Caenorhabditis elegans: one gene and its partners. The protein of the gene in region 2 purifies or fractionates together with the protein of the main gene of each other region. This does not show direct contact. Each region holds a gene or a part of one and is shown on either strand. Other genes may lie near its edges.

What was found.
Region 1: the proteins of gld-1 (region 2) and cey-3 purify together in Caenorhabditis elegans (affinity purification with mass spectrometry, with the first as the bait; 2 studies listed by BioGRID). This does not show direct contact.
Region 3: the proteins of gld-1 (region 2) and cgh-1 purify together in Caenorhabditis elegans (affinity purification with mass spectrometry; 2 studies listed by BioGRID, with this or other methods). This does not show direct contact.
Region 4: the proteins of gld-1 (region 2) and alg-1 purify together in Caenorhabditis elegans (affinity purification with mass spectrometry; 2 studies listed by BioGRID). This does not show direct contact.

Annotation. Positions count from the first base shown.
Region 1 is NC_003279.8:5,569,553-5,575,854, forward strand, and holds cey-3 (CSD domain-containing protein), read right to left. Parts: upstream 3,398-6,302; 5' UTR 3,366-3,397; coding exon 3,249-3,365; intron 3,131-3,248; coding exon 2,820-3,130; intron 2,774-2,819; coding exon 2,404-2,773; 3' UTR 2,244-2,403; downstream 1-2,243. Other genes in the region: pqn-52 (DUF1080 domain-containing protein), read right to left, coding at 153-334, 430-525; rmh-1 (RecQ-mediated genome instability protein 1 homolog), read left to right, coding at 3,691-3,951, 3,998-4,452, 4,532-4,667, 4,734-5,244, 5,342-5,851, 5,925-6,071, 6,123-6,302.
Region 2 is NC_003279.8:7,692,854-7,700,689, forward strand, and holds gld-1 (Female germline-specific tumor suppressor gld-1), read left to right. Parts: upstream 1-2,827; 5' UTR 2,828-2,842; coding exon 2,843-3,031; intron 3,032-3,082; coding exon 3,083-3,284; intron 3,285-3,330; coding exon 3,331-3,468; intron 3,469-3,513; coding exon 3,514-3,638; intron 3,639-3,683; coding exon 3,684-3,800; intron 3,801-3,848; coding exon 3,849-3,992; intron 3,993-4,037; coding exon 4,038-4,250; intron 4,251-4,293; coding exon 4,294-4,557; 3' UTR 4,558-5,369; downstream 5,370-7,836. Other genes in the region: rlbp-1 (Rho-GAP domain-containing protein), read left to right, coding at 269-367, 419-669, 715-850; T23G11.4 (Hepatocellular carcinoma-associated antigen 59), read left to right, coding at 1,489-1,567, 1,672-2,315; T23G11.10 (uncharacterized protein), read left to right, coding at 5,448-5,538, 5,583-5,692, 5,744-5,959, 6,002-6,184; gna-2 (glucosamine-phosphate N-acetyltransferase), read left to right, coding at 6,833-7,053, 7,101-7,263, 7,314-7,678, 7,727-7,836. UniProt on the Caenorhabditis elegans protein: RNA-binding protein which recognizes the 5'-UACUCAU-3' RNA consensus sequence. Binds sequences in both the 5'coding and the 3'-UTR region of rme-2 mRNA. Binds sequences in the 3'-UTR region of cye-1 mRNA. Binds to cyb-2.1, cyb-2.2 and cyb-3 mRNA.
Region 3 is NC_003281.10:7,493,490-7,501,231, forward strand, and holds cgh-1 (ATP-dependent RNA helicase cgh-1), read right to left. Parts: upstream 4,344-7,742; 5' UTR 4,306-4,343; coding exon 4,201-4,305; intron 4,154-4,200; coding exon 3,650-4,153; intron 3,605-3,649; coding exon 3,187-3,604; intron 3,166-3,186; exon of another isoform or gene 3,088-3,165; intron 3,039-3,087; coding exon 2,773-3,038; 3' UTR 1,831-2,772; downstream 1-1,830. Other genes in the region: C07H6.9 (Serpentine Receptor, class Z), read right to left, coding at 5,344-5,556, 5,599-5,741, 5,786-5,876, 5,920-5,958; sap-140 (U2 snRNP-associated SURP motif-containing protein), read left to right, coding at 6,273-6,305, 6,368-6,500, 6,543-6,655, 6,765-6,937, 6,988-7,742. UniProt on the Caenorhabditis elegans protein: Probable RNA helicase required for oocyte and sperm function. Also required to prevent the physiological germline apoptosis mechanism killing essentially all developing oocytes.
Region 4 is NC_003284.9:13,945,645-13,956,342, reverse strand, and holds alg-1 (Protein argonaute-1), read right to left. Parts: upstream 6,855-10,698; coding exon 6,821-6,854; intron 5,082-6,820; coding exon 4,843-5,081; intron 4,741-4,842; coding exon 4,568-4,740; intron 4,422-4,567; coding exon 4,251-4,421; intron 4,198-4,250; coding exon 2,735-4,197; intron 2,680-2,734; coding exon 1,727-2,679; intron 1,675-1,726; coding exon 1,636-1,674; downstream 1-1,635.

The DNA of each region.
Region 1 (6,302 bases), 2.1 Mb from region 2:
GCTCTCCTTCATGTCCCTAAATACACTTTTTGTTTAAAAAATGAATAGATAAATTGTGTAATTGATGTCCTATCAGCAATTGAAGCATGTCAGAATCGAATGCTGGCCTCGGATAAACTGTTCGACGAAACAACTTTTTTAAAACGACGTACCAGTATCCAACAAACGAGTTTGTCTGTGTATGGCCGTTATTCTCATTAGCTGGGAATACCAAAAAGTCATCTGTTGTACGTCCATCACGAAGATCTCCATCAAATCCAACAGTCGTCCAGTATTCTTCCTGAATTTGAGAATCGAGTCCACGACATCCTCCCCTTGTCACGAATCCTTCTCTCTGAAAAATAACTTTTGAAAGTTCGAAAAATTCAGCCGGTTGTCATTAAATATATATTTACTATTAGAAACCAGCTGTCACGTAAACGAACTTACCCCTCTCATTTCCATATACTTTCCCCGGCATTTGGCAGCTTCTGTTGCAGTGCATAGAGCTAAAAGTAGAACGGTGACGAGTTTGAGCCCGCTCATATCTGAAAAGATGTAAAATCATTAATTGCAAAAAAGGTTATCGATAAGTTAATGTTTAAATATTATCCGAAAGGAAGGAAATAGCTTGCATTTATTGAAGTCAAAGCAATTTAGGTTCTTCAAGTGAGGAATTTAGAAAACAAAACTAAAAAATGAAGCTAGAAGTGAGTCTGAAGAAAATGGAGCAATTTCGGCTCTCTTTTATGTGTTATGAAATTAGAACCGATCAAATTGCGGGCTGTGGGGGAAGTGACTACCACCTGATTGCCTAGAATTTTGCCGACTAAACGGAGTTTTTATTTTATAAACTAAACGCATGCTGATCATGAGCATCTGAGAAACTGCACACCCGAACACAACTGAGAGCTAAGAGTGAGCTCAACTCATAAATTAGCTTCAATCGGCACTTTTTACACTTTCTCAGACTCGTCTCCCGCTCTTCGTCTCAGGGGTCATGTATTCCCCGAAGAATCTATACAAATTTTGTATCATAAGTGTAGTCGGTTTGGTGGGAGCAAGAGCACAAAAAAAGAATGAGCACATACACACAAACATTTTTCAGCGAGAAAATTTGACGACTGATTTTGTTTCTTATCTCTGAAAAATTATGAAAGGCGTCGTCGTAACAGAAAAAGAATTGATTAGGGGGGTTGCGCTGCGGAAAAATGAAAATGGCATTTTTGGAATGACGCTGAAAATTATCGAAAAGCTGAAACTTGAAAAATGACTAACATTTCAAAATGATGACTATAGCAGAAAAAATGTATTTTCTACACTTGCCGTAGGCGGAAAGGATTTTTAAATCTTGAGTGTCAGAAAAACTATAAACATAAATTAGGTCTAAATTTCGTTGGTGTGATCGTATGGAATGGTATTATTTGATTTAATTAATAAGTTCCATTTATCAGTGACTCATGAAAGATGAATTCTATCAATTTTAGTCATGACATGTCGTATATGACATCAAAAAATGTCAAGAATTTGAAAGGTAAAGTTTAAGCTAGAAAAGCATTCAGAATAATGGAGAAATGTCAAGCTTCAAATTTTGAAATTGAGTGAAGTGAAATAAAATTTCAACATCTAAAAATTGAGGGAAAATAGAAAGGAATCGAAACGTTCTGATAAGGCATATGTTGAAAATTACATCGAAGTATAATTCTTCAATAAAAAGACATCTGAGACGGCATTCAGAGGATTATTATGCGTGTAAGTTCCGCGTTTCAATAAAAATGTACTTTGCTGTTTTGAAACTATTATATGACTTCTTTTCTAGTTGCCCTTAACCTAAAGAATTCGTATTCCGTTAGTATTACAGAGCGGCGTAAGTGTTTGGACACCGTAAAAAATATTGTATACATCAAAAACTGCAATAATTTTCTGACCAAAATTATTACTATCGATCAAAACTCAACGGGTATAATAAGAAACCGACGCTGAAGACTACTGATAATTGATTTTATTTCTGTTTTTGAAAGTTATCGCAACGACAAATTTCACACTATCAGATGGTTGGAGAAAACTCAAATTATTTTATTGCTTATCGCGGCAAATTTATACCTTTAGCAAACATCGAATGGAAATACCTACGCTAGTTTTTCCAAAGCTAATTCTGAAATTTCCGTTTTCAAAAACCTAACTAGATGAAGCTCGAGAACCGTTTAGAAGTAAGAATCGATACCAAACAAATTAGATCGTAATGCGGGTGATGAAGAGAATTATTTACTTTGCCGACTTTCGGTTTATTATAAGAACACTTCTCTTTACAGGCTGACACAAAATAACAGATTTGGGGACATAAAAACATGCAGGAAACGGGGATCTAGAATTCTGTGCTATATAAATAAGTACAAAAGATTCAGGAACACAAAGCAATGAAATTTAGATCTGAGCATCAATCAACTGAGCACCAAGGCCAGCATCGTCGAGAGCAGAATCGCAACGATCGATCTTGGAGAGTCCAGCTTCCTCAGAGATGATCTTGGTGCAGGATTTCGAGTCCGGAGAAGCAGTTTCGGAAGAGGTCCCGAGAGATTCAGTAGTAGCAGAAGAGTCGGCAGCATCACCTGCTCCCTTCTGGTCCTTCTGTTTGCGGTTTTTATTCTTACGCTGCTTTCTTTGCTTCTTTTTCTCCATTGCTACTGCCGGAGCCTCGACAAGCTTTTCAGTTTCCTTTGAATCAAAATCCTCTCCAACAACGATTTTCGGTTTACGATTCTTACGGAAGCGAGAGAGAAGCTGATGGCGATATCTAAAGTAACTAGTTTTCCAACTTTACTTGTCAATCAATAACTCACTTCGATCCAGAAACATTCACCCCGGCTGGTCCGGTGACATTTGCAGCCTCAGGTCCATTCTTACCATCGACCAGATCGAAGAGCACTTCCTCCTCATCGGCAAGTGTCCGAAGGTAAAATTTCTCAGTGTCCGATTTGGAAATAGCTGTTTGGTGAACGAAGACATCCTTCTCTCCATCACTACGGGAAATGAACCCATAGCGACGAAGTACAGAGTACCACTTCACCTTTCCTTGAAGTCCAGCGGTAAGAACAATCTTCGCCTTCTGCTCCTCCTCCCAAATGCGTATGCGCTCGGCAGCTGGCAGACGCTAAAAATCATAAAATTGTAAATGTTGTACATTAGCACGTCATGCATCATAAAGAAAACGAACTACTTCAAAACAGTCAATGGTAGTTCCCAAAGAAGTGAGTTTTAAAAAAACTTACATGCTTGCTTGTATCATCCTTGCTTGGCGATCTTTTCTTGCCGATGGAGAGATCGTCGAGTTTCTTTTCGATGACTTGCTCATCTACTTCGACAGCAGTATTCGCAGTGTCCGACATTTTCGCCGTAGTTGCTCTTAGCACTTGAGGTACTGAAAAACAAGACTACATTGAGTGACTGAAGCTTCAAGGGTCGACGGCGTGCAGAAGAAAAGAAAAAAGTCGAAAAATGACAGATTAAGTGATAAACGCTCGCGGGCCTGTGGTCCCGTACGACCGTAACCAGCGTACCTGCACATCAAACATTTGGCGGCGCTTCAAGGTTTTAAACGCATTTCTTACATTTTTTTGTTAACAAATTTGTTTTCTTATTCAATGTTACACACATTTTCATTATTTTTTGTTGGTATTTGCAGAGCGAACGCATATAAAAACTACAAAATATATGAAAGAAACTGAACTTGATCGTCTTTTCTCTTGGCTTGCTAGGAAACATTACCCATTCAAGAGAGAATGGCTAAGAATATGCGTCCAGTATATCGAAGGATCACTCGGACAAAGAATTAAAACTGTTGATGTGAAGCAGATTGGTGAACTTGTCATACAACAGTTTTTGAATTCAAAAATATCCGAAGCTTTGGATCCCACCATGAAAATCCCAACGAGCGCAGTAAAAGTTGTCATTGTTAAAAGAATGATTTTCCAGGTTATTAGTTTGAAGATCTGCCGAAAATCAACAGGAATATTTTTAGGTTATTTCCTCCACGAATATATCAACATCCTTGTACGAGCAATTGTCAGAATGTACTCGACACAACGAAGATTTGGCTTGGTTTCATGGCGGATCCAAAGCTGATCACGAAGAAGAAAATCGCGACAAAGAAAAAGATGTGGCCTCTGATCGCATGAATCATACGCAGACGAAAAATGCAATTAAGAAACGAGGAATGCTGAAAATTGAGCTCACCGATGGTGTGAATACTTTGAAAGCAATCGAGTTAGACGAAGTATTTGATGAAAAAATTATGCTACCCGGTGCAAAGATTATTCTCACAGGAAAAGTTAAATGTCGTCGTGGAAATCTTCTACTGGATAAATCTAATTGTGCTTTTCTGGGCGGCCGAGTGGAATCACTAAGTTTTGATAAAGTGGCACAATTATCAAATGCATTGAAGGTTGACTTAGACGCGGAGAAGAAACGAAGAAAGTAAGTTATCACTTAGATACATTAGAAATCAGACATCATCTTAGCTTGATTTAATTCTTCTAGTAAATTCAATTTTCAGAGCATCTCTGGAAAACGCTGCTGCTTCTGTATCACGAAATAACAAGAAACAAATAGACAAGAAAAATCTTTCCCTTAATCAATCATCGCTTTCTCCATTTTTAGTCAAAACAAGTCGAATAACGGGAGAGGTCACTGTAAGTATTTAATCTAGTTCCACTACACTTCTTTCAATGGCTTAAAAACAGTTCTGAAAATTACAGGTTCCGGTGAAACAGTCTTTGGTGCCTACTGCGTCACGTATTCTACCATCTTCCGTAGCAGTTATTCCCAGCATTCAAATAGAGAAACCAACAGATCCTATTGAAAATTGGGATTTTTCAATCGAAGAAGTTCCGCAAGAACCAACTCCAGAACCACCAAGTCATCATGTACGGGGCCTTGTTGAACATTATCCATTGCGTTCAAAACCACAAGATCCGCTCCCACCACCTCCAACGAAGCGTTTATCTTCATTAATAATTGATAAAAATTCGATTTCAAAAGTGTCCCAAAACATTTCAAATCAGGTCGAGAAAGGTCTACTGCAAAACAAGACGATCGAAGATTGGACTTTCAATTCGACAAATTCCTTTGACAAATCTAAAAAAGTTATGTCTATTGATAACTCTAAAGATCAAAAAATGAAAATCAAGGAACTTCCTGGACAACTAATACGACCGACTCCAATCGAAAAACCTATAATCGGTGATCCTAGAATGAACAGTGAGAAACGTAAGTTAAAACAGAATAAAATATAAAAACCTTTCAGCTATAATATGATCCTCTTAACAACAACTATACCACAAAAGTTTCAGTAAAAGTTTTCCAGGCAAAGATGTTTCCGTATGGGTTTGGGAAGATCGGAAAGGATCAGAAGAGGAAGACATTGCGGCGAAAAGGATCAAAAAGATAGATTCAGTTATGGAGATTCCATTATGTTTTGTGAAGGAAACAACTCGCCAAGCGAATCGAAGTAATGAAGAGAGTCGTCATAAATTAAATACATTTGCGCAAACAATTCATGGTCCTCGTAGCAAGATTGACGATTTTCGAGTCAAATCGAACAATGTTCCCGTTTTCAAACAAATTACAGATCACTTTATAACTGTGAAAAGTAATCCTAATTCATTCACATCTTCTACGCGTCATACACCACCTCAAATGCCGAAAGTAGTCGATTTTGGGAATTTTGAAGATTATGATGAAGATTATGAAGATGAAGTTCTGCCAACATCTTCGTTCCGAGATCAATTAAAACAAAGAAAAAGTCTAGATAATCATGGAGAAGATGTAGTCTTAGAAGAAGAAATGGATCATGTAGATCACGATGAATCTATAAGTGAGTTGTTTTTTAATTTATCGGAAAATTTAACTGATAATCTCGTGATATTCAAAAAAATATTTATATTCAGTTGAATGTACAATGGATCATGAGGGACGTTTGGAATGCGAACGATGGGGATTGCGTGGAAGGGAATCGAATATTATTGAGGATGATAAACGGAATGTTTACAATGGATATAATATGAATAATAATATAGAACGTGACAATAAATACGGTAAGCTATAACTGTCTTAATCAATCATCTGACATTTTGGAAAAATTTCAGATTCTTCAATGAATGGAATGCCCCAGCCAAATCTCCAGCATCCTCTGTCAATTCTTCCTCCTCCACCAGTCATTCCTCCTTCACAGAATTGGAATTATACAGGATACTACCAAGCTCCGCCACTTAGGAATGTAATAAAAAGCGAGACGGTGGATTCTGTTGTACCGGAGGACCAGAAAA
Region 2 (7,836 bases):
ATTAAAATAGAATTCTAGGAAATTATTAAAAGTTGGATTATCTTACCGAAAAGAACATCTTTGTAGATTTTCCGCACGTCTCTAATCTACAGTAAGACCTTCTAGCTGATAAAAATTTCATCCTACCGTATCTCTACAGTAATCCATTGTATTCAAGAAGCAAAAAAAAAGTATTGTTTGAATGTTTTTGGTACGAAAAACCAAAGAAAAAAAGAGAATGCAAAATGAAGAATTTTTTGTACTTAGTAGGTTATAGTTTAAATTTCAGATAAGTGCACGACATGAACGAGGCCGAACGACAGCAGAATTGGACGAACATGCGTGGCAGGTTCAGAATAATATAACTGCAATAAAAAGGCGTTTAAAGGTGAGTTAATCGAATAGTGTATAACATGATAATGTACTTAAATATTTTCAGCAACTAGTAGATGCAGCTCCACAAGTAGTTTCACTAGATACAACTGCAGATAGTAGATGCATTGAAATGTACGAAGAAAAACAGCTGATGGCAACACAAGGAATGCTTCGAGAGGATGTTTCTGCAGAACGTCAACGAGTTGCTGAATTGTGTTGGAGATTGCATAATTGTAAGCAGTTGGTTAATGAGAATGAAGAAGAAAATACAAACAAGAAGATTGATTTTGAAGAAGAACAAGAATGGACGGAGCGGTTAGCGAGTTCCTTATAAGATTTACATATAAAAATTAGTTTCAGGTGCAAATTGGAAGAAGCTGCACGAAGTGCCCTGTTAGAAGAGATTACACGTCTTCGATCTACTTGTGCTGATCTTCGAGCTCGTCTGGAAATGGAGTCACTGAGCAAAGAAGTTATGAAATATGATTCACTCTAGATCGAATGTACTTTTGTAGAATTGTTCTGTTTTGATACTTTATCAATATCACAGCATTCGGTAACGGGGAATTCGAATGTGCTTCTTTTTTATAATATATTTTCACAAAGTACTGTATTTCTTTCAAAATTATTTTTGCATATCAATAGGGCACATTTGCAGAATTAAGTGGAATCAATCAATAATTCTTAGTCTTTTCCTTCCTCAAGTCAATAAATGTGCATATTTTCCATATTCCATATCTACCCCTAACTCACACTCCCCTTCTTTTTGACATTTATATTAGCTTTATCATTCGTTTTTGTTAACTTTAATCACAAAAAATCCGGGCATAATTTCTCTTTACCATCTTCACTTTTCATGTCATTTGTTTTCACTTTTTTTGATAATTTTTTATCATTTGGGTCTTGTTTTTCACAAAATCAAAACTTTTTCACAACTTCTTTTTCAGTAATCCCAGTTTTTCTGTACCGATGTGACCAGATATGTATAAATTTTATTGCATCCAACAATCTCACACAGTTTGATTATTTGAAAAACTGTTCTGATTCAGAAAAATGTTACATTTACACTTTGAAAACTTTTTTCTAAAATTTGAATGCTATTTAATTTTTAAACTTTAAGCATCAACGAACACAATGGCCGATATCTTCAGAAAACCAAAATCAAAAATTCAAAAAAGGAAAATTTTAGAAGACGACGACGTTGCTGCTGATGGTATTTAATTTTTAATCTGATAAAATAATTGTTTTTAAAGCAAATGATAACTTAAGAGCATAACATGCATTAAAATTTTTAATGTTCTAAATTTTTTTTTCCAGAAGAGTCGTCAAGAGTTTCCGATATTCGAGATCTTCAACGATCACGAGAAAGGAAAAATGGTCTCACAGAATTAGAATGCGCAGTTGGAATTTCAAAAGCTGCAGCTCTCGAGGATGGAATTCAAATGGCTGGTGGCGGAATGGTGATGACAAGTAAAAAGAAGGCAGCAATGGAAGCTGCAAGCATTGAACAAGGACTCCGAGAACAATTCGAGAAGGAAACAATGCTGAGAGATGAACATGAAGAATTAAGGAAATATATTGATGACGGACTTCAAGAATATACAGCTGATACTTCTAAAATTGAAAAACAGAAACAACCTTCTTCATCAGCTGCAGCTAAATTTTCATCGCTGAATGCAGAAGATCGTGATGTAGAGCTTTTGAAACAAGCTGCTGGAAAAGTGAAGGGAAATCAAAGCAAAAAGGAGACAGAATTGCTTTCAGAGCATATGCTCGCAGGAATCCCAGAAGTGGACCTGGGAATTAGCACTCGTATCACCAATATCTTGGAGACTGAAAAGAAAAAACGATTCCTTCTTCAAATATCTGCTGCTGAAGCTGCAGGTCTTCCACCACCAATTGAAGAATGTGAAGAATCAAAACCAAAATATCGAAGACGTTTCAACAACCAGCGTCGATAAATTGAGATACACAAGTGTTTTTTATTTATTTTCCTGTTTAAATAAATTCGATTCATTTTATAAAACTCTGAATTGAAAGTATTCAATTAAATTCTGAAAAGCCTCATGCAAATCAGCGCACGGCTTAATAGGCGTGGCCAATTCCTGCCGTTTCGCCACCCGTGCGCGCATTTCTGGAACTTAAAGGAACATGTTGCACCGCGACGTATGGGTCTCGCAGCGATCGCAAACAGGTATACGGTAAAAGTTTCGAAATTTAGGACTTCACCTCAAAACTTTTTAGAGTTTTATTTTTTCGATGCTTTTTGGTTGTTTTATATTTCGTTTCATCTAAAAATTTTAGAAATAATTATTTCTATTTGAATATGACCACTTTCACATTTTCCTCGAATGTTTCATTCCGAAATTCTAGTGAATATTCGTTAGATAAGCTAGATGAGCGAATCGCCGCAGAGTTTAAGCTTATGTCGTTACGTTATTGAAAAATATATTATTACTAAGTTTTCTTACAGGTTAACCATCGAAGAATGCCGTCGTGCACCACTCCAACTTACGGTGTTTCGACCCAACTAGAAAGCCAAAGCTCTGAATCGCCATCTCGTTCGTCCGTTATGACGCCAACGTCTCTGGATGGAGACAATAGTCCACGGAAGAGATTCCCCATCATCGACAATGTTCCAGCGGATCGTTGGCCGTCAACTCGGCGAGACGGATGGGTACGCGAATTTTCATTTTGTTCATCAATTACAGTAATAAAAAATTTTCAGAGCTCTGTTAGAGCGCCACCACCAGCTCGTCTGACGCTATCGACGAACAACAGACACATCATGTCCCCGATTTCGAGCGCTTACAGTCAAACACCTAATTCGCTTTTGTCGCCAGCCATGTTCAATCCAAAGAGCAGAAGTATCTTTTCCCCGACTCTTCCTGCAACTCCAATGAGTTATGGAAAATCATCGATGGACAAGAGTATGAAACAATCTCATGTCTACTTATTTTTCTGTAATTTCTTCAGGCCTGTTCTCTCCAACAGCTACAGAACCAATCGAGGTTGAGGCAACTGTCGAGTACTTGGCTGATCTGGTTAAAGAGAAGAAACATCTTACGCTCTTTCCTCATATGTTCAGCAATGTTGAACGTTTGTTGGATGATGGTACATAACCGCTCTGTGTTCCTACAAGTAATTATTTTATTTTAGAAATCGGTCGTGTCCGCGTGGCTTTGTTCCAAACTGAGTTTCCGAGAGTTGAGCTTCCTGAGCCTGCTGGAGACATGATTTCGATCACTGAGAAGATTTATGTTCCAAAGAACGAATACCCAGACGTAATTTAACGAATTTCAAGTTTTCGAACAACTAAAACATTTCAGTATAACTTCGTCGGTAGAATTCTCGGCCCACGTGGGATGACCGCCAAGCAGCTTGAGCAGGACACTGGATGCAAGATTATGGTCCGAGGAAAGGGATCAATGCGGGACAAGTCAAAGGTTTGATCTTGTTACAATTTTATCTAAAACAAAGTTTAGTTGTTGAAGGAAAGTGCTCACCGTGGAAAGGCCAATTGGGAGCATCTCGAAGACGATCTGCACGTTCTTGTGCAATGCGAAGACACTGAGAATCGTGTTCACATCAAATTGCAAGCAGCACTCGAACAGGTCAAGAAGTTGCTCATTCCGGCTGTGAGTTATATGCTTCGTAAAATCTCTACAATAACCTATTTTCAGCCCGAGGGAACTGACGAGCTGAAGAGAAAACAACTTATGGAACTTGCAATCATCAACGGTACGTATCGTCCAATGAAGTCGCCAAACCCAGCTCGTGTGATGACTGCAGTTCCTCTGCTCTCTCCAACTCCACTACGTAGTTCAGGTCCAGTTTTGATGTCGCCAACTCCTGGATCAGGACTCCCGTCAACGACATTTGGAGGATCGATCTTGGTAGAACAGTTCTTCAGTTTAAGTTTCATATTTTTAATTTCAGAGCCCCACTCTCACTGCATCCAACCTTCTCGGATCTAACGTCTTCGATTACTCGCTTCTGAGCCCGAGCATGTTTGATTCATTCAGCTCTCTTCAACTTGCAAGTGATTTGACGTTCCCGAAGTACCCAACAACCACTTCGTTTGTCAACTCATTCCCTGGTCTTTTCACTTCTGCATCTTCTTTTGCCAATCAAACAAACACCAATGTGTCCCCGAGTGGAGCAAGTCCCTCGGCTTCTTCAGTCAACAACACCTCTTTCTAAAAAGTTCACATTTATAACTCACACTCCCTTTGTTTTGTTCGTTCTCACCATTTTAGGTTACCATAGAATCATGTGCCATACATCATGTTGCCATTTTTTCCCCCTCTCATCTCCCCCATCTTTATCATGTCATCAATTGGTATCTACCATCTCACTCCTTTAGGAATAGCATACACATACAGTTAGTAATAATTATGTAATGAGATACCTAATACCATTAATTCCTTTCTGTAATTTAAACTCGCCCTGCTGCTTTCACCATATGCTCTTTGATTTTTAAGTATCTTTTCCCTTTCTTCGCAGATCTTGAAAAGATATTTTAACATCAGAGAAAAACGGCAGGTGCCCCGGTAATAACATCTTATCAGGATAACCATTTTGGAGAATACTCATTGATACTTTTATTGATGCAGCTATTCCCCTACCCATTCATACTACCTCGAATGCCAAAGCACCCCCTTTATTTTTCTGTGTTATCTTAACGCTAACCCCTGTAGAATCTTCCCGGTTTGATGTAGTCATCAAAAATTTTTCATCTTTTCTAAATTTTTAGTAACTTGAGATTTTAATTTTCTTTCCCGCTAGTTAGATATGTTCAAATCTCACATCCCCATCAAACCAGCCCCAAGTCCCCATTCTAAACCCCTACCCCTTCCCAATCTGTCCATTATAATTTTAAGCACAAGTCCAAGAGCTAATATTTTTAGCAGTCTTTCACATTGACCATTTTCTCGGTACCCTGTTTTTGAGACCAAAATTTTGAATTTTGAAATTGAAATACAGGGCGAGATAAAATAATAAAAAATAGTTTTTATTCAATTTTTCTTCCAGTTCATGTTTTAAAACGATTAAAAAGGAAACATTAGTTAGAAACATTTTCATTTCTTCAAATGTTTCACGTGAGCAGGGATTCAAACTGTTTCCAATCCGAAGAGGATTTTGATGATAATCCAAGAGTTGATGGAGTTATCGAATTACTCAGTATGTGATGTTCTGTAAAAAAAATCGCCAGTTAAAATTATCAGAACTTTTCGTATGGCCTGCAGCTGCAATTATGTTAATTTTCCTTTTACTCCTGGTGAACAATTCGGTTAACATTGAGAAACAAAAAAACGTCCGGAGGCGTCATTTAATGGTATTTGTTATCGGTTATTTTATCAGGATCGTCTAAATAATAATATTTCAGAGCACAGTTCAAAATTGGCATATGCACGATGATTTTATTGCAGGACTTAAAGGAATTAGAAAAGAGGAAGAATGTAAAAGAATGATGTTTTCTGAAAAGTGTGAATATAGTAAACCGGTGGTCAATGCGTTGAATGAATATAAAAAAGAGAGAATTGAAGAAGTAAAGAGAAAAACTTTCGAAAAATCTTCAAAGAAAAATGCAGAAATTGCTAAAGTGGAGGTTCGAATATTTTCACAACTAAAAATTATTTTCTAGGAACGATTTGGCCCGGTTAAAACATTGAAAATGGGTGGAGTATTTCCCAAAAATAAGGCGAATAGTGTATTCTGGAGTCCTGCAGATATTGTTGCATTCAATTTAATGTTTAGAAAAGCTCGAAAAACTCAAAAACTTGCAGATGGTGTGAAGATTGCTTCTATTGATGAAATTTACTCTTGAACTATTATTATCGAAAAAATACGATCGCACAAATTTCTCATAATTTATTTTTGATCTACCTGTTGAACTTGACTCCGCCCCCAATCTTGTTGCCGTTGTTATTTTGTTGTGGCTGTCTTGTCGAAGGAAGGGGAGGAGCCTATTCAACAAGGTAGATCAAAAATAAATTATGAGAAAATTGTGCGATCGTATTTTTTCAATAATATTTTTGGGTTACAATTTTTTAATCAATAAAAAAATGACGATTTTTGAAGCAACAATTTTTATTTCTTAAATAATTGTTTTCAGAAAGCGAAATTCCAGATCTAGACCGGAAATTTGGTAATTTATGACACCGGTCTCGACACGATCGAAAGTTGCATGCGCGCCTTTAATGTGTACTGTAGTTTCCGCGTTTCGATGTTTCACAATTTTCTTCGTTTGTTTCTTTATTCTAAATAATATTTTCGAGAAATATATTGAGTTTTCTTGTAACCATTTAAATAAATTATACTGTACCCATTCCAGACATGCATAATTGCAATTTCACATTTTTGATCTACACCGACTGCCAATCCGGTTTTGTTTTATTGAACTCTCACTAATTCGGCCGTCTTCGATGTTTGCAGAGCGCTCATTCACTTCTTATTATACTCACTTCAACTAACAATGTCATCGATTTCAATTTTCGATGAAATCCTTCTCCCAACAGATATTTCTGTTCCTACTGGTCTCCGTCTTCGTGCTCTTCGAAATGATGATTTTGGATATCTCGAATTGCTGAAACAGCTCACTTCTGTTGGGTTCATCAATCAATTGGTGTTTCGAAAACAATTTGATGCTATGAAAAAGGCTAAATCGTATTACATTGTTGTTCTCGAACACATTGAGTAAGTCAACATTATTTTCACAAAATATTAACGTATTTTTCATTCAGATCTTCTAAAATTATTGGCGCCGCAACATTGCTCATAGAATTTAAGTACATTCACGAAGCGGGAACACGTGGCAGAGTTGAAGATGTGGTTGTTGACGAGAAAATGCGTGGAAAGAAGCTAGGAGCGCTTCTCAACGAAGTTCTTGTCGAAATGGCGAAGACGGTTCGGATTTTCAATTGAATAGTTTTTTTAAAAACTTTTTATAAATTCAGATTGGCGTCTACAAGTTGTCACTTGAGTGCAAAACTGAATTGATCCCATTTTATAACAAATTTGGCTATTCAAAGAATCTTCACTTTTTGGATCAACGTTTTGAAGAACTGGAAGCTCCCGCTCGGAAATCGTCTACACCTGGAAATGGATCAGTTATCCTTTTCAATGAGAACGTTCTTCCGACAAATATGAAACTTCCTGTCGATATCCGTGCTCGCGCTCTCCGTTCCGATGACATGAATTATCTGAAACTTCTGGAGCAACTCACTTCCGTTGGATACGTCACGAAAAATGACTTTGAGCAAAGATTTTCTACAATGAAAAATTCAGAGTCGTATTTCATAGTAGTTTTAGAAGATGTAAAGTAAGTTCTTCCCAAAAAGCTATAATTCATCTATAAATACTATTTCAGTTCTTCAAAAATTGTTGGTGCTGCCACTCTTGTAGTCGAGCTCAAGTACATTCATGAATGTGGACTTCGTGGAAGAGTCGAAGATGTTGTCGTTGATTTGACAATGCGTG
Region 3 (7,742 bases), on a different chromosome or scaffold from region 2:
TGGAACATCGAAAAATGAGTAGACATTGAGAAAATGAGAAAAAAATCCAGTTTTTCATTATTCGAAAGGTTGACCCAATGGACCTAATGGCATTTCAACCTCTTCTTTGTCCAACTTTTTCACTTTTTACGCCCATTTTGCATTTTGCATGAATTCACAAATAATGTTGCAATTATTCAAAAAAAAATTTATGTTTCAAAACTACATAGGTTTTGACATTTTGCCAAGAGTGAAAATTAAATTTCTGAAAAATCTTGAACATTTTAAAGTATTTTATTTTAATTTGTAGCCTTTTTGATCAACTTTAAGTTTATTTCAAGAAAAAACTCCACTTTACTGTACCTTCAGAACTTTGACGAAAAGTTTTACAAAATAGGTATAGCTCCACGTTAAAGCTCTTTGTAACTCAAAAATCCGATCAAAAATTGTTTAGTGTAAAAAAGTGAATTTGAAATTTGAAAAGAATTTATTTAGAAATGTATCACACCGTCCACTTCTCCTTCATTTCAATTCAAAACCGTTTTTCATTCTTTTTTTGACACTTAAGTGGTCATCAACGCTGTTTAGAATATCAATACACTTTTTTGCGATATAAATGGTCAACAAAAAATAATGAGGGAAAATGAAAACAATTTTTTAAATAATAAAGTTAACAAATCCTTCTATATAAAATATAAAAACCTTTGAAGAATACTGTAATTTTTAAATTTCGTTGCTGCGGAATTAATTCCGGAATTTTCATCGATTTTTCATATTTACCATAGTTTTTCGATTAAAAATATTTATTTACTAAAATACTAATACGAAACAATTAAGACATTTAAATTTCAACAAATCGTGAAACTATGAAAAATCGATGAAAACTCCGCATCACCACAAGTTTGAAAGTACAGTAATCTTTCAAGGCGCACACCCGTTTACGTAAAACTCGCAACATTTCGCGTCTGGGCAATAAAACTTTGTTGTACTTCGCATTATTTTCCATTATAACATCATCAACGAAAAATGAAAGACTATTTCAATTTATTAATCGGGCGCGTTCGTCTGGAAAATTTTCTGAAAATGGTCATTTTGTACAATGCAGTAAATGTGAGTAATACGAGACTAACCTCGTGATTTATCGATGGAGTTGGTCAAAAAAGTTATATTTTTATAAACTTTTGTTATTTGATTAAAATTAAAAAAAAAGATGCCTAAACCGTATAAAAATCAGAGAAAAAAATAGTTTCGATGCCATCACTTGTCTCTCTGCGGATATCGCGCAAAGAATTCCAATCCAATTCAGACCGGTTCGAGCCGCCTGTCATCGACGGATACGGATTGTTAACATTTGCATAATATTACAAAAGGCGAGGATATACATATAGAAAAGCATATGAGAAAATGAAACTAAAAAGAATTTTCAAAGTCATTGCGGTCGGAATCCGAATACACACTAATAGATTAATGTAGACGTTCCGACCTCTCCCGTCACCGCAATATCAACTAATATTACTGTGCGCGGCGCGCATTACTGGTGCCGATACGGATGGGCAATCACCTCTCCGGATGACACATCCAAGAGAGAAACAGTAAATTGAATACCGACCTCAACCATTGCCGCTGGCTGACTGTCAACACATTCAACGCCTTCCGCTGCTGTTGCCAGGGAATACGAGAAACGAAAGTAAATCGTCGCATTTTGTTACTTTCATTTCACATGGTCTTTCACTCGGGAAATGCGCTAATGTGCTTTAATGTATCTCTTGTGGGTTTTCGGTTTTTCTCAAGGCTTTCACTACTTTCCTCTTCATATGAAACTCTGAAAAGAAATAACAGAAGACGATGTTTCGATTCGGTCTTTTATTGTTAAAGATGGCAATCATCCAGAAGGAAGCTTGCACATCCTTTGTGAATCGAAAAATTGTGCAAATTTTTGGTGTCAACTTCTACAAATTATACAATAAACAAGAGGGAGGAGGCGGGAGAGAACAAATGGTTTTGGAATGGGGATGGGGGAAGAGCTGTAAGCGAGACACATGGCCAGCCGGAAGCCTTCCAAGACATTATAGTCTTTGAGCCATTTGACATGATAATAGTTGCAATAAATATCTATCAGATTAGGAGATGGACAAGTTGAACTGGAATGAGCACAAGAGCGGAATAAAACCCTACAGATGGGCAAGGGAAAACCGCAAGGATGGTGGTTTTAAATTTTGGATGCATTGGTATGGGGCATGAAGGGAGAATTGTGGGAAATGAGATAGGAAATTACAAGATTGATCAATGTGGTGCGGCTCAACAGAATAACTACAGAGCCGGCTACCCAGTATGATACACGTCAAAAAGAACCCGATGTGTATGAACAATGTCCTTACACTCCCAAATATATTTTGCAACGACACATTAATGTCGAAACAATTTACTTTGGGAGCATAAAGACCAACTTAAATGACTATGTAAAACACAACGACTTGAATGAGTTACAGTCCATGACTGCAAGTTGGAGGGTATGGGGAAACTAATGAAAAAGAAAAATTAGAATTTTACACCGCATATAAGTGGAACGGGTTGATGGGGTCCGGGAAGGTGGATGGGATACAAATAATGTGCGGGGATTTGAGAAAACAGGAAGGAAAGATGCTTATGCTTGAACAATATTAAATTTAGCACAAACTGTGCATTTAAAGGAAAATAGAGAACATACACAATCTGGACGAGATCACTAGAATGGAAAAAAAAAACGTAGGCGACCAGTGTGTTTTGGAGGTTTGGGGATATGAGAACTAGTGTTTAAGCAGTGGTCTCATCGGCGGCATCGACGAGCTGCTGGTCAGCGACATACAGCTTCGGGTCAACCGTTTTCGGGATGGGCTCAATGCGAGTACGAAGCTCCTGCTCGATACGGCGAAGGGTGTGACGGTCTTCGTAGGTGATAAGGTTGATTGCAACTCCGAGGTGACCGAAACGTCCAGAGCGACCGATTCTGTGAAGGTAAGTCTCGGCGTTTCTTGGGAAGTCAAAGTTGATGACAACATTGACAGCCTGGATATCGATACCTGAAAAATTACAATTATGCATGAACTACACTTTAAAATAAGAAAAATGGCGCTCAGATATCCGTTCTTCAATTATCTCTTCACATAACTTCAGAGTGTGTGTATGTGTTATCAATCCTCATCGCGCAAATTATTTAGTCAAACTTACCACGGGTGAGAAGATCGGAGCAAACCAAGTTTCTGCAGTTTCCTTGACGGAAGTCATGGAAGACACGGTTTCTGTGATTCTGAGCCATCTTGGAATGAATGTAGTAGCACGAGTAACCGATTTCCGTGATTTTCTTAGCGAGAAGCTCAACACGTTGAGTAGAGTTACAGAAGATGATCGACTGGTTGATTTGAAGTTTTCGGAACAACGTATTCAAACAGTGGACCTTTTGCTTCTCTTGAACAAAGGCATAGTATTGGGTGACACCAAGAAGAGTAAGCTCCTCCATGAGGTTGATCTCATACGGCTTGTGCATGTGCTTCTGCATGAACGAAGTGACGGTGTTAGGGAAAGTGGCAGAATAAAGCATAACTTGACGCTCCTTTGGGAGGAAGTTGATGAGGCGGTCGAGAATTCCCTGTAAACGAGAATTGTTATCTTATTCAAATGTTAATTTTTTTACCTGGAAGTCTTGACTAAGAAGTTTGTCAGCCTCGTCAAGAACAAGTGTTTTACAATGTTCCATTTTGGCGACTCCTTTCTCCATAAGATCGAGAATTCTTCCTGGGGTGGCGATGACCAAGTGAACCGTTCCGTTTAGACGCATGATATCATCACGGAGATCAGTTCCTCCGGTAGTGACCATAACTTTGAGCTGAATGTGTTTGGAGAGCTCCACGCAGATCTGTGAAGTTTGGAGAGCCAATTCACGAGTTGGGACAATGACCATGGCTTGAATAGCTTTGAGGGCTGGCTGGATCTTCTCGATAACAGGGATACAATAAGCTCCGGTTTTTCCTGTTCCGTTCTTAGCTCTTGCGAGAATATCTTGACCAGTGAGAGCGACTCCGATGGATGCTTCTTGAATAGGACTCGGTTTTTCCCATCCTTTCTCAAAAATCCCCATGAGAAGATCGCGTCCAAGGCAGAAATCCTCAAACTCGACTCCCTTCGTATCAGTGACATCCTGAAAAATGAAATGGTCACAAAGTCATATAGGCTTTGCAAACTCACAGCAGTTTTGAATCTTCTGTCTTTTGCTGGAAGATTGAGACCAGCCTTCCAGTTTTCGTCGCCATTGTTGGCAGGAACGATCTGTTGTTGCTCCGCTCCACTCATTTTCCGATGTCGTAGTAGGTTTGATTTCCTGATGAGATCTGTAAAATCGAGATTAAAGTTGAGAAGTTGTTAATGGTGTAAGTTGAGAAGTTGTTAATGAAGGAAGATAAGTTTTTAATGCGAAAAAATGATACCTATCGAGTTTACTACAATTTTGTTAGTCATGGAAAAATCATTCAAGCATTTTCAGAACAATTAGGAGGAACGCTAAATAACACTGAGATAATATTTATGCGAGACAACCGGTGTCTGTCTCGCGCTCGTATACACACGATCAATGACGGTTAGAAAAAGCAAGCGAGTGGTCGGCGGCGCATAGAGACGCACAGACACTCTTTGGGTTGCTGGAGTATCTAGCCAACAGGGTAGCCGATGTTTGACGACGTGGCAATTGACAAGAAACAATTTCAAAAGGTCAGAGAATCACGACAATTTTTTATTGATACCTTCCAGTTTTTAAGCGACTCTCCAAACAATAAACGCGAAAAAGTTTATATTTTACATTCGAAAGTTTGAAAGAACACTTTTTGTTATCGTTTTTTAAAACAGGTTTCTGAGCTACGAAACTGATAAAAATCTTCGGAAAACGACTGAATCTATCAAGAAAGTGTCGATAACAGATTGGAGCTGCCATCGTCGCCTAAAACTCTTAGAAATCTAGAGAAGAAACACAGAAACACGTGGAGAACAACGGCCAAAATGAAGGAAATGTGCGAAGAAACGAGAGTGTGGAGAGAAAAACTGTGAGAGCGACGGGACGAGTAGGCCAAGCTGCTGCGAGCGACGAGTGAGAGGCATTTCGCTGCGTACATTCAACACACAAAAGTTGAATACTCAGCCAACGCGCGAAACAAAATGGCGGTAATTCAAAATTAGATTTCAATGAAAAACTTTACGAAGATTTGATGCGAAATTTCTTGAGAATAATAATGAATTAAATATTAAAAAGAATATACCAGCGTCGATGAAAATTTATTAAAGGATAATTAGTTCTAAATGTAATGAGTAATGTGATTACTTTATCGTTTTTCGATTTCCTCATTTTTCTAATTCGAACTCCTCATATTCAACCAGAAATCTGTGATATGCGTCACATCTAGCTCCGTGATGGCAGTATACGATGAATATAAGAAACCGACACGGTTGGATAACACAATTGAAATACGCCAAATCCACAATAGGCAATATTTTCGAGCTGCCAACAAAATAAATTGTTCCGAAACAGGACACATCCACCACCATTTTTATAAACTGAAAATCTTAATTGAAAACAGGAGTCAAAAGAAACGTTACATTTGTGGTAATCGTAATAACATTGAGACGTTGGACTCCATTGTATGATATAAAATATATAACTATCAAAATGCTTGTTAGAAAAAATAACGAAAATTGAATGTAAACAAGTGACAGATACACGAACGACTCTGTCTTCATATCTGCAATTTTAGTTGTTATATTTTTCCACTTTTTATTTTCTTACAGAAATAAGCAGATCCAAGATAAACCGATTGGTACCAAGTTTGTAAAGCTTCTAGGCAAATCATGTTTATAGCAATAGGACTCCAAGATCCCTTAAAATTATTTATAAAGGCAGAAACATTACAGATAACAAACTTGATCGAGATTGAATAACGGCGGAGGAGATAGACTCATAATTCTTATATGCAAATTATTTAAAAATGGTTTGTTATTTTATTTATGAATTATATGATTTGAACGTTAAATGTTAATAATAATATGAAATTGCGTGTAACTCATGAATTGAAATTAATTACGTTATTATTTTGTTCTTTCTTTTTTCAAAAATAAAATGTTTCCTTACTTAAAAGTCGCGCCGAGATCCGAAAACACGCCAAAGTGGTTGCTGGCGCGTTTCATCATAATTGCTGACGCATTGTCAGTGCCTGGTCCATTTACTGGGAAAAATCTAACATTTTAAATTATTTCCCGGGAAATTTCCCCGCAATATGAGTATGGAATGGTCCAAAAAGAGAAAGAAAGTAAGTTTCCTTGTCAACTTCTAAGTGTCACAAGCTTTAATAATACCGATTTAAAAGTTTAGACATCTGACGATGAGGAGGCGAAGTTGAACGATGCTTTGTTGGAGTTCCAAGCAGACTTTGGACAATCTTCGTCTGTTTCTTCTCAGCCTAAAACTTTTCTGAGAGGAAATGTTGTCGAGGGAAATAAGATTTGTAAGAAAATCCATTTGAAAACTATATAAACTGAATTTTCAGCTGCTGGCGACGGTGGAATCTATGCACCAAAGTTTTCAATGAACATTCCGTCTAAAACTTCGAACGTTGGATCCAAAGATTTTGATGAAGCGAAAAAATTAGCAGCCGCGAAGGTAAAATTAATAAATTTCATGCGCTTAGTTCTTCACATTGTTTAAATTGGTAGAGATGTGTTCGTTTCTTAACGGATGTTTTTAGTGAAATAAGAAACACTATATTCAGGCTCGAAGGATGCTGGAAGACGTAGCACGAAGCAAAAAAATGACAGAAGTGCCGAAAGTTGTCGTGCCAACTACGAGGCCGTTTCAAAGACCCCCGAAGCCTGGCAGCTCGAAAGCGAAACAAGATAAGCCAAAGATCAGTCAAATGGAAATGTTTAAAATGGAATTGCAGAGGTATATTGCTAAAAAAGAATTTCGAAAGAATTATATCCGTAAAATTTCAGAGTTCAAGAAGATCGAGAAAAACGGAAAGATTTACGACATCATCTGGAAAAAGTTGGAATGGATCAAGCTGTAGTAGAGAGATTGGCTCCAACAGTTGAAAGAGGATTCCAGGGAACGTCGGAGTTTGACGATGACCCGTATACTACAAATGTATATGTCTCTAATATTCCACATTCAGTAACGGAAGACGATCTATTATTTACATTTGGTTCGTTCGGACCGTTAGCCGCACTGAAAATTTTGTATCCGAGAAGCGAAGAAGAGCGAAGACGGCCGCATATTTGCGCGTTTGTAGCATTTATGTCTCGTGCCGATGTGGATAGATTTATGGCTGAAGTTCGTGTAATCATCGTTCGGAATGAGCCAATTCGTTTCGCTTTTGCTCGTCCTGTCCAGATTCCTGCTATTCCTTACTACATTCCACCCGTACTTCATGCCCTTCAACATCCCGATCCAACTTCAAATTTACCCTTCAATGCACAACCGGATTGTGCTGATGCCAAAAAGTTTCTAGAAAAGTACAATACATTTCCACCGATGCATGCATTGCCAACAAAAGGACAATATGGGTATGAGGATTTCACAGAACTGATACGGAATTCACAAATTAGAGTTGTTGTCCCCCCGGACAGGAAGCTGGTCAGAGTAATGGATCGAATGGCCGTTTACGTTGTAACCGAAGGACCTCAGTTTGAAGCTATGATATGTGCAGAAGAGTTTCAAAATCCAATGTTCCAATTTCTTTGGGATAATA
Region 4 (10,698 bases), on a different chromosome or scaffold from region 2:
TTGAAGGATTCTGAACATCAGATATTCATATACCCAGGGTTCAAGCATTCTGAAAATTTTTTACAAAAAAAATATAACAAATTTTGGTCCCTCATCGCTTCATTTGCAAAGAAAAAAAACAAAATCACACATTGTACAAAATGCATGAGAATGCAAATTACAACACAAATGCGGAAAAAGGTTTTCTGTGGGTGGGGTGGGGGGAAGACTTTCAGACATCAGGATCAGGGGGAAGTGGGAAAGGGTTTTGAAAGAGAAAAGGGTTTGTTTGGAAATACAGTAAGACACAAAAGTTGAGGTTGAGAGCGAGTTTTTTTTAGTTAGGCAGCTGGATCAAAAATATAAGAGCTTAGGGGACGTCAGGTAGAGATGTTGAAAGTATGACAAATTGTGGAAATGAAGTGAAGAGGGGAGTTTTTTAATATTATTTTTTGGGTTGGAAAATTGTAAGTTAATTTACTGAAGATTAAATCCTAAAGTTAGAGTAATTAAATGTTACAATAATTTTGTAAATAATAAAAACCCTAAAAATTAGTATTTGCAAGAAAGAAAGTGAGAGAGTGAATGAAGAAAGAATCAATTGGAAAGATGCACTTGACAAGATATATTGGTGATTTTTTTGATGACAGGGTATTGAGAGTTCAAGAAAAAATGAAAGATTGTAGCACAATGCAAAAATATTCAACTGAAGGTGATAAATATTGCGTCAGAATTTTCAAATATGTGAGTGAAGTGAACAATCACGAAGTTAATGCCATAACAAATGCAGAACTCTGCACGAAAATAGAAGACACCCAGAGTAAATTTTACCGATCACGTCTTGATGGGTGGTCAAGTGTTCCAGGCGTCCATCAGTATATGTGTTTCAGCATTGAAAGCCATAAACTGCCACATACGTGTGGATTTGAAGTGCAAGAACATACAAGACTCACCAGGAGCGCAGAGTAAAATCTAGCCCAAATTTCGGCTATTTTGCGGAGAAAACATCAGCATTCTCGTAATGTTTTTAATGGTTGTTTGGGGAAGGAAGTCGAATAGGTCAACATCAAACGCAACTAGGACTACTGTAGGCGATGAGAAATTGGAAGGAATTTGACAGATCAAGCCCGTAAGTTGAAGAAAGAAGCATTTCAAGATGATTGCTCAGCGAGAAGATGTGAGTGTGAAGAGAGGAGTCGTAGTGCTCGGTGCTCTCGGAGGTTACAAGGTGGAAAGACGACAGCAGTGCATTTGGACAATGTAATCAACTGCGAGGAAAAATATTAAGGATATTAAATGGGTTTTGAAGCTTTGTAGGCTACCAGGATGAGAGGAAAAGTCACTAAGTAAAGGCATTTTGGTTGTGGGAAGTGAAAAATGGATGGAAGAAAGAAAACAGTTACACGAGAGGTAGCGGCAATTAGAATTACAAATTAAATATGGAATTTGAAAACATAAGAGTCCGATTATAGAAAAACATTATAACATTGTAGCATATTGAAATCAATTTGAATGGAGATACAGATACAGATAAAGACACAGAATTATCAAGATAGATATTAGGTAGACATGACAATATTCAATACTCGTCTTCTGTTAGAGCAAGTTGGTGAGTAATAGCTATCTATGAAGTCGATTCCTAGGCAGATTCCTAGTTTAAGCAAAGTACATGACGTTGTTGGCATCCGGATGAACCTAAAGTGTTTAATTTTTTTCAAATAGAAACTAAATTAAATGCCAATATTACCTGCACAGCTCTAGCCATGTTCGACAAGGTGGTATCCTCGGAAGTTCCAGATGGCTGAGAACCTTCTCCAGAGTCATGCTCGCGATCGACAAGATGATAACGAGCGCGGAACGCTACCAAATGAGCATAATATGCTGGCGCTGGAATTGAAACGGATCGTGTGCATCTGACGTAGGTATGGCACATTTGATATGTGAGCTGTTGAAGTTCGTCGGCTGTCAGATTGTTGTCATCCCAAAGAACATGGTAATGGGATGGACGAGATGTTCCTTGAATACCAGCATGAGAGCACAAGTAGAAGTCAAACTCGGTTGGGTGGGTAATTCCTACATCGACAGTAGTTCCTGGCGGAATATTGTATGCTTTTCCGACTTGATCCTTCTTATCAACAGCAAAGAGACGAGTGTGATGTCTCTTTTGGACGGCGATGAAAGTGATTCCTGGTTGATATCCTCTTTCAAGCATCATGCAAGCCTCGCGAATCGCGCGAAGCTCATATTGAAGAACGTTGAAGAATTGCCCCTCAGAAACTCCATCACGGTAGACAACGATTCTGGCTGGCTTGAAGCGAGTGTTGCGGTAGAATTGAACAAGAAGCTCGCGGACCATGTAGGTTAAATCTGAGATGATCTCTTGACGATGTTGTTGGACACGGACGGTTGCAGCATATCTGCTAGGATGAGCATCCATTGAGCCGACAACTGCTGCGATGGATGGTTTGCGAGAGTCTCCTGCTGGTGGATGAGTGATGTCACATCCAAAGAAAATGACTGGTTCGTTGAAGATTCTTGGGCGTACGTTTGGAAGCAGAATACTGTTGACTCCTCCAAGCTTTACGTTCATCTTCAAGCATAAATTAGAAAGAGTTTGTGGAGTTGTTCGGATTGCGTTCTTGGCTTGCACGCACTGGGTGGCGATACCCAAAACTGTGTCTCCAACACGTTTAACTTCAGCTGAAAAATTAGAAAATAAATAATCAGAAATAAACAAAAAAAACAAATTACATACCATAAACTGGAGTTTTTCCAGGGAGAACAACCACTACAAGTTGAATTCCAGAGTAGTTTTGTTTCAAGTACTTGAACATTGGCTCAACCTGCTCGACTCCAACAGCGTACTTGCAGAAGCATGGATTTCCGACGATTGGCATACCAGCGTCGTTGGAAATCCGCTGAAGCTGGTTGGTGAACATGCGGAGATCGTTCTCCTTGACATGCTGTTGTTGAGCAAAACAAGCGATCGCCCAGACACGAACATCGATTCCAGTGTGGAACTGTTTTCCACGCATATCCCAAACTCCTTGATTCGGGAGAGCGGTGGCTCGAGTGCGTCCACCGTAGAGAAGTTTTGGAGCAGAAAGAACGCGTCCCTTGACTTCAGTCATTGCTGGGTTGATGGTGATTCCGAATTCGTGAGCAAATGGATCAGCTGAGAACTCGGCCTTGCGGACCAAGTTGGAAATCTCACGCTCACGTTCTGGAGCAGAACGAGCTGTAGCCTTAATCATTGTCGATGTCTGCACATCCGTAAGCTTCTTGATGCAACGTTGTCCTGGAACAATGTTGCACACCTCTGGTGGCAGGTAGGTGTGCTTTTGTTCCTGTCCAACTTGGAGGCATGGCAAGTGTGGGTATTTGAGTTGAATTCTGTACTTGTCATAGAAATACTTGGCGACAGTGCACTCAATAGTTTGACCAGTCTCCAATTGAAGTGGGAAAGTTTGAGTTTGAGCTGGACGACGAGTGACGTTGCAGACACGATACTTTCTGCGCATTTGTCCACAGTGGGTGATTTCAATTTTGAGACCACGAATTTCCTTGGTGAACTTGACACGTTGAGCATCAGATAGAGCACGACGCTCAGCAAGAGCTTGAACTGGAAGCTCCAAAACTTCGGCGATGAACTCAATGACTGGCATGGAACGATAGAAAGCAGTCGCAGAGACATCAATGTTAAGCATCATTTTCCACTGAGATGGGCGAACCGACTGATGGAATCCAAACCAGACTTCACGGCCACCCCCGAGTTTGCTCTCGGCGTGATATTGTCCAGCGGAGTGGGCACCTCCTGCGACAGCTCCAGAAGCCTGGGGAGGGCATGATCCTGCCATGACTCCAGAAGCATTAGGAACTGGTGGCGAGAAGAATGAACGTCCGACAGGAGTGTATTTCAAGCTTGGAAGATGACGAAGAATGACATCCATAGCTTGAACGGCTTCGAATGGAACCTGGCGAACTCTTCCTTCCATGGCATCCTCCAGAGTGGAGAGAGAAACTTGTCCGACCCATTTCAAAGAAACCGAAAATTGACGCTCAACGGCGGAGTCTCCAGGAAGTGTGACATCGAAATCCATACGTTCTCTTCCAATTGGAAGGGGCTCGCGGGTGTACATATTGCGCTTTCCATCGTAAACAGGGCGAATATTAGTGAAGTACTTGGAGAATGCGCTTATCAAGCAGCTGATAATCTCGCTGAAAATTGATACAATTAATAAGTTAGTTCATTTTGGAATAATAATGATTACCGATTAACTCTTCTTGGGCACTTGTCTGGAGTAACATCGACCTGGTAGTGTTGAATAGTTCCTCCAGGAATTCTCACTGCAAAGTGGTTGGCGCGAAGAAGAATTGAGCGACCCTCAACTCCGTGGTTTGGGCGTCGAGGACATTGGAATTGAATACCACTCTGGTTGCCGCTGAAAACATTTACATTTAAAAATTCCACATTTTTTCGAAAATCCCTTTTTTGAAATCAAAAATTAATGATTGCCAGTTATTGCTTCTCACGGGGGTTTTTTTTTTGATTATACCGTATTAGTTCATAACATTTCAAATTTCTTACCCAGGTAATTGTCCCGGTGCTCCGCCTGGTAAACCGCCTCCAAGTGTATTTGCTGGTTCTCCAATTGAGACACTTGTATTACCAATGGGAACTCCTGGAGCCAGGCTTCCGGCTTGTCTTTGAGGAACATCGCTAAATGTTTGTGGCTGAGTAGGCGGAGAATTAAATATTTCCTGAAATACAATGTGTAAGTTCAAAGATTTAAAAATTATTACAAACTAATAACAAGATAATATCAGATGTGTACACTGCGTTTTTAAACGATGAAAACTTACTTCTAGATCATTTTGGAGCGCTGTTGACGCAGCCGCTTGTGCCGACGGGAAAGGCGGCTGCTGGGTGGCTCCAGATGTTGGAACAACTTGCGAGGAGGTGGACGTCGAACTAATCGGTCCACTTGGCAGAAACGACGATGTTGCGCTCTGTGGTTGCTGTTGAATGGTAGAATTCATGACTCCTGGCAAATATTGCGGCCCGCCGGACATTGGGTCGTTTGAGGCGACGTTAGACGACTCTGAAATGAATGTATTGTGAAATGATTGTTCAGGTTTTTTTATAGATCGTCATGCATTTTTGGAAAAAAATTCTACAAATGCAGACAAACCCAAAACTTAAAAAAGAGAAAATCGATATATAGATTGGAAACCGACAGGTTGTTCGTGTGAGGTACGGGGTGGAGGAAAAGAGAAAGAGAAAAGTAAAACAGTGTCGGGCAGCGACGTCAAAGGAGGACGCAACGGCGACTGGACGACGAGGACACGACGAATCGGAAATCGGACTGCTGCGCAAGCGGGCGCTGACAGAATGCATTCCGAAAGATCAAGAGACGCAGACATTCGGTGGCCAGTACTATACGCTATTGTACACTAACAAGAGACTATGCGAAATCAGGAGACGGCAGAGATAGTGTGTCGCGAGAGAGGCGAGTGGAACAAGCAAAATGAGAGAGAGTTGGAAACTACCAAATACAGGGGGAAGCAGGCTGCCGGGAGCGGGTTGGATCGACTCACAAAACAAAGAAAAAGATGGTCTGTGGAGAGAAAGGGAGAGAAACGCGCGGAGTGCTGAGAGCCGATGCGATTAAACATATCGATGTGGGTCAGTTGTCCGATCGGGTGGAATAGATTTGCGATTAGAAGGAAACGCAGAGAGATAGACAACGGACTTTTCGTATGGAAATAGTATGAGTTGAAAAGTGACATAAACTCTAAACAGAAGGGCTTCCAAACAAAAGTGAAATTTGAGAGGCAAAAAGAGAAGGTGTTGGTTGTAAAAATCACCACATCTGGTTGCATACTGTCGTGAATGTGAATGTGGATTTTTAGAATTTTTAGAATTGTTTTTGGCACAATTTTGAGAATTGCAAAAAAAACTAAATGCGCAAAATTGGTAGTAGTAGTTAATTCATCCATTCATTCTGAAAGGATTCCTACATAAATATTAGAAAAATATAACAATTATAGTAAAATTGGAGAAGCACCATAAGGTTGTTCAAAATCACTTATTTAATCACTAAATATTATAGAAAACAATTTCCAAAAAGTTGCTTATTTGTTGCCAGGAGGGTCAACAGAAAGTTTTCACTTCTCATAATTTGAAAGTCTATTGAAAATTATTTCATACAAGTTCTATGCCAAGTGAAATTTCTACAGACTAATCAGAACTTTGACAAAAAAGTTTTATTTATTATCTCAGAAATGTTGAAACTTGGATATTTTTCGATTTTCAATCTCAATTTTTAAAATTTTAAACTTGATTTTAAACACTATTTTCAGTATATTTATCAACGTTCTCACAGACAGTTTTTCGCATTTCAAAAACACTCATAATTATTTTCAAGACCTTTATCAAGTCTCTGTGGTGTCGAAAATCTTGAAGAAATATACATATTTTTCTCAATATCAAAAATTACACTTGGCATTTCTTTCTCAATTTTTAATGCAAATTAACATTATTTCCATTATTGAAGAACACATACAGGATTGTCCCAAAAGTGAACAAATGAATATTTTAAATTATACACATGTGTGAATACAAATATTTTCTAATGGCAAAGTCTCATGAAATGTTTGATGTTAAAGTCAGGGAATTATGTTGCCGGACACCTTTTCAGATTGAATATTAATCTCCCGGAAAGTGCAATTAGATTTGGTGGAAAAATGGAAGAGGAAAAATTGTTAGAAATAAATCTTATGATAACTTCTTTAGTACAGATGTTTATGTTAAGAATAAGTAATAATAAAATAAGCTTACCATTTGTGTTGGTGTTGTTCAGTTCGGCAGCCATGAGAGGGATTGAAAGCGCTGGGTTGGGTCAGTGAGATGGGAAGAGTAGCGGTAGAAGCTTCTGGTTCCTTTAGTTATTGTATCCTTTTAAAGCAATAATAAGGGTAAGGAAGAGGTAGAAGGAGGTAGAAGGACGTCGGTGTTGTCAGTCGGTTACAGATTCGTCTCTTCGAGTTGGCAGGGGTAGTGGAGAAGAAAGAGTTGAACAAATAGTAGTAGAAGAGGAGAAAGTTGATTTTGGCCCGATTGCTGATGATGATTTTCTCAGTGATTGCTATTGGTTAGATTCCTGAATGATGTTAAACTCGTCGTCAGCTACACCGTCTGAAGTGCATATGCCACGAGTGGAGTTGAGAGACTTTCTTGAGGTTTCTCTGAAAATTATTGATGTTTCGGGAAGAAAGAGGGGGAAGGTGAACGAGGGAATGGAGAAGGAAAAAGGAAAAAGCAAAATAGAACAGAAACTGAAAAACAAAATTCGGAATGAACACGATCAAAAAATGAATTCAATGCGAAGGAAGTGTTGCTGGGAAGTTAGCCGTAATTTTCAAATTTATCACCAATTTGTGAAAACACATCAGAAAAAATTGGTGTCTTACTCAAAATTAAAATAAAAACTTTAGAATATTGAAAACTTTGTATGGTATGTGAGCCCAATGTTTTGAATAACTACAAACTGTTTAAAAATGGTCATTTTTAAAATCTTCGAAGCATATTTAATAACAAATCAAACTATCAGCTATGTATTTGAAAAATTTTTCAACTTGTATGAATAGTTTAAGGAAGCTAATACATTTCTGTTTGAAAAATAGCATTTTCAAGATTAATTCAAAATAACGACTTCCGCAAATTCGAAAGATCTTTCAATAAAGAATAAAGTGCATCTGTGAACTTCCTGATCTAGACGAAACACTAAATCCTCTCAAGCACTAAAACTGAAAATGAGAAACGATAATGGTCGGGATAATCTCTTTCCATCAGCTAATCTATGAATACTGAAAAGTACAAGACGGTTCTAGGCCGCACACGCCATTGAAAGCCAACGAAAACCACGGCAGATGGTGGTTAGTAAAAGGGAAAGAAAGAGGAAGAGTGGCAGAAGGACCTATTGGAACTGGACGAGGCTGCCCTGGCATTAGACCAGCGAAAATGTGTAATGGTCCAAGAGACACAGAGAAGCGGGGGGAGAGAGATGCTTTGAGCAGTATAGTGCATTTTATGAGCGGCCTCCCGTCTGTCCCGTCAAGGGTTAAGGTTCATGTTTATGGGTAGTGCCGTGCCTGACACCGAACATGAACAGTTTTGGAATGGACTTAGAAACGATGACAATGAAAATTAAAAAGTTTAACAGACCCAACAATTTAAAAACCAAGTTTCGTTAAAAGATACCCAAGGGGGTGGTTTTTCTTCCGTAAATAATTTGATAATTTTTACAAAAGTGGAAAGTATATTTGCACTAATCAAAAAATTTTAAGCATGAATGAAAGTTTTATGAAATTTGGGTAATATTTTTTGATGAGGAAACAGTTATAAAAGTGCATATTATGTACAGTATGACACTTTTATTTTTCTTTAAACTTTTATTTAAAAAAACACATGGTTGAAATTATGAGCATTCTCATTTATCGTTTTGAATTTTTTCAGTGAAAAACTGTAATTTTCCAATTAGCAGTGATCATAGATTGCTGATTCGTAACACTAAATATAGGTCAGCCATTGATCGCTACCCATATTTGTTCCGTACACACCCACTCAATGCCATCGGCATATTTCTTTTTTTCTATTATTTTTGTGTTTTATATAAAAATCGCCTGACCTTTCCTTGATAAACGTTCGATTATCAGACAATATAACTGGTTGCAAAGCTAACTGTAACAAAGTGACCCTCAGGAAACACAGAGAAACTAAAATAAAAAGTGGTGTGACGGTTCTGTTGAGCATTTGTCGACCGGCTAAGTAAAAATAACAATTTAGACAAATATATAGTACCTAGAAATAATTAGCACGTCTAGTGAGCGACGCCGGACAGCACAAAATGCAAAGACTACGCGGTGACAAGCGGTGACGGAATGCATGTTAACTACGATAAGAAAAATATAAAATTAACGAGTGATAGGTGTAATATGATAGTGCTCTTAAGTTTGACATGTTACACAAAAGTATACAAAATGAAGTGTCAAGAAATAAAAAAGCTTATAAAAAAGTTTATGGAAACAAAAATGTAACTGTCTTGTTATTTTTTGAAATTGAAATCTAAGTTATAACGTATTATCAAAATATTAAAACTGTCACCTCAAATTTGAATCCAGCCAAACCCGCGAAAAATTCCCTCTCGATTTCGGATGCCGAAAATTGGCTCGAATCGAGAGATGAAAAATTCGGGAGATGCTGGAATCAAAAAGGTCTCCGCCTACTTTCTTTCAGATTTCCGCCGGTCACCGCAAAATTGAAAAGGGTGGGTAATACCTGGCGGCCGACAACCCACGGGTTCCGCGCATCGCTATAAATTAAGTAAATTAAGCCACGCCCTTCAAAAACACACCAACTGAATGGGTGTGGCTTAATTTACTTAATTTATAGCGAGGCACGGAACCCGTGGGTTGTCGGCCGCCAGGTATTACCCACTCTTTTCATTTTTGAAGTGTCCGGCGGAAAACTAAAAGGAAGTAGGCGGAGTCTTATTTGATTCCAGCATCTCCCAAATTTCTCATCTCTCGATTCGAGCAAATTTTCTGTATCCGAAATCGAGAGGGAATTTTTCGCGGGCTTGGCAGGATTCAAATTTGAGGTGACAGTTTTTTTTTAATATTTTGATAATAACAGGTGTATTAAAATATTAAATATAGGGAAAGAAAATAGGGAAACATCACACCATTAAAAAGTTCAGTGTAAGCTAAAACATTGTCAACTAATGCTGTTCGAGAAATAAAAAACACTATCGATTGAAAGAATCGAAAATGCCCATATCAATTCAAAGCATCAATTATCACACCGATAATTAACCAACCCTACATGCAGTGGACACTCGAAAAAACAGACTTCTTAGGCCCGTCTCAAGTGGTGTAAGTCGAATTTTTCTCTGCAAAAAAAACAAGGACACGTTTTCAGCATGTTTTAGAAAAAAACAGTAAGGAAAAATAAATTTTTGTGACTTGTTGCACTACACGGTCACATTACATACTCCACATGATAGGTTATTTTTAGAAAGAAAAGTTTTTTTCGGACTATCAGATTGTTAGCAAGTAAAAAAATGAAACATGTTCTGTTTTGGAATATGTTAGTCAGAAGAATACTGTCATTTTGTTGTTATCAAGCAGTTATGATAAATAGACTTTGACATTTTCCGAAAATTTATATCGTTTTGTTCAATTTTTCCAGATTGAGAGTTTCCAGAATATTTTTGTGTGTACATTTTTGTTAATGAATTATTTCTTTAAAAAAAACATTAAGTCAGTTCATTAAATCATCTTGTGAAATGTCCAATTATATAAACGAAAGCTTTTCTAATTAGTAGATGAAGAGTAGTGATATATCAAATCCCTTGACGAGTTAATCATAGAGTAGAGTAATCATGCACACTCACACACAAAAGCAAAAAGGGAAAACGGTTGTGTTGTCTCTGAACGTCTGCGAGTTGCAAGAAGAGCGCCCTCTACATATTCCACGGTTGGAGAATAGACGAAAAAACACACACACACACATAGCATGCGAAGAAGTGAGAAGCTGGCCGCGACGCAGCCGCGCCCGCAAACGTACCACGCTGTGATGACACACGCACACTCACTGGGGCAAGAAGAGAGATAAAGCAGTGGCGTGAGCCTCTAGAGAGTCGGCGGTGCAAAAGA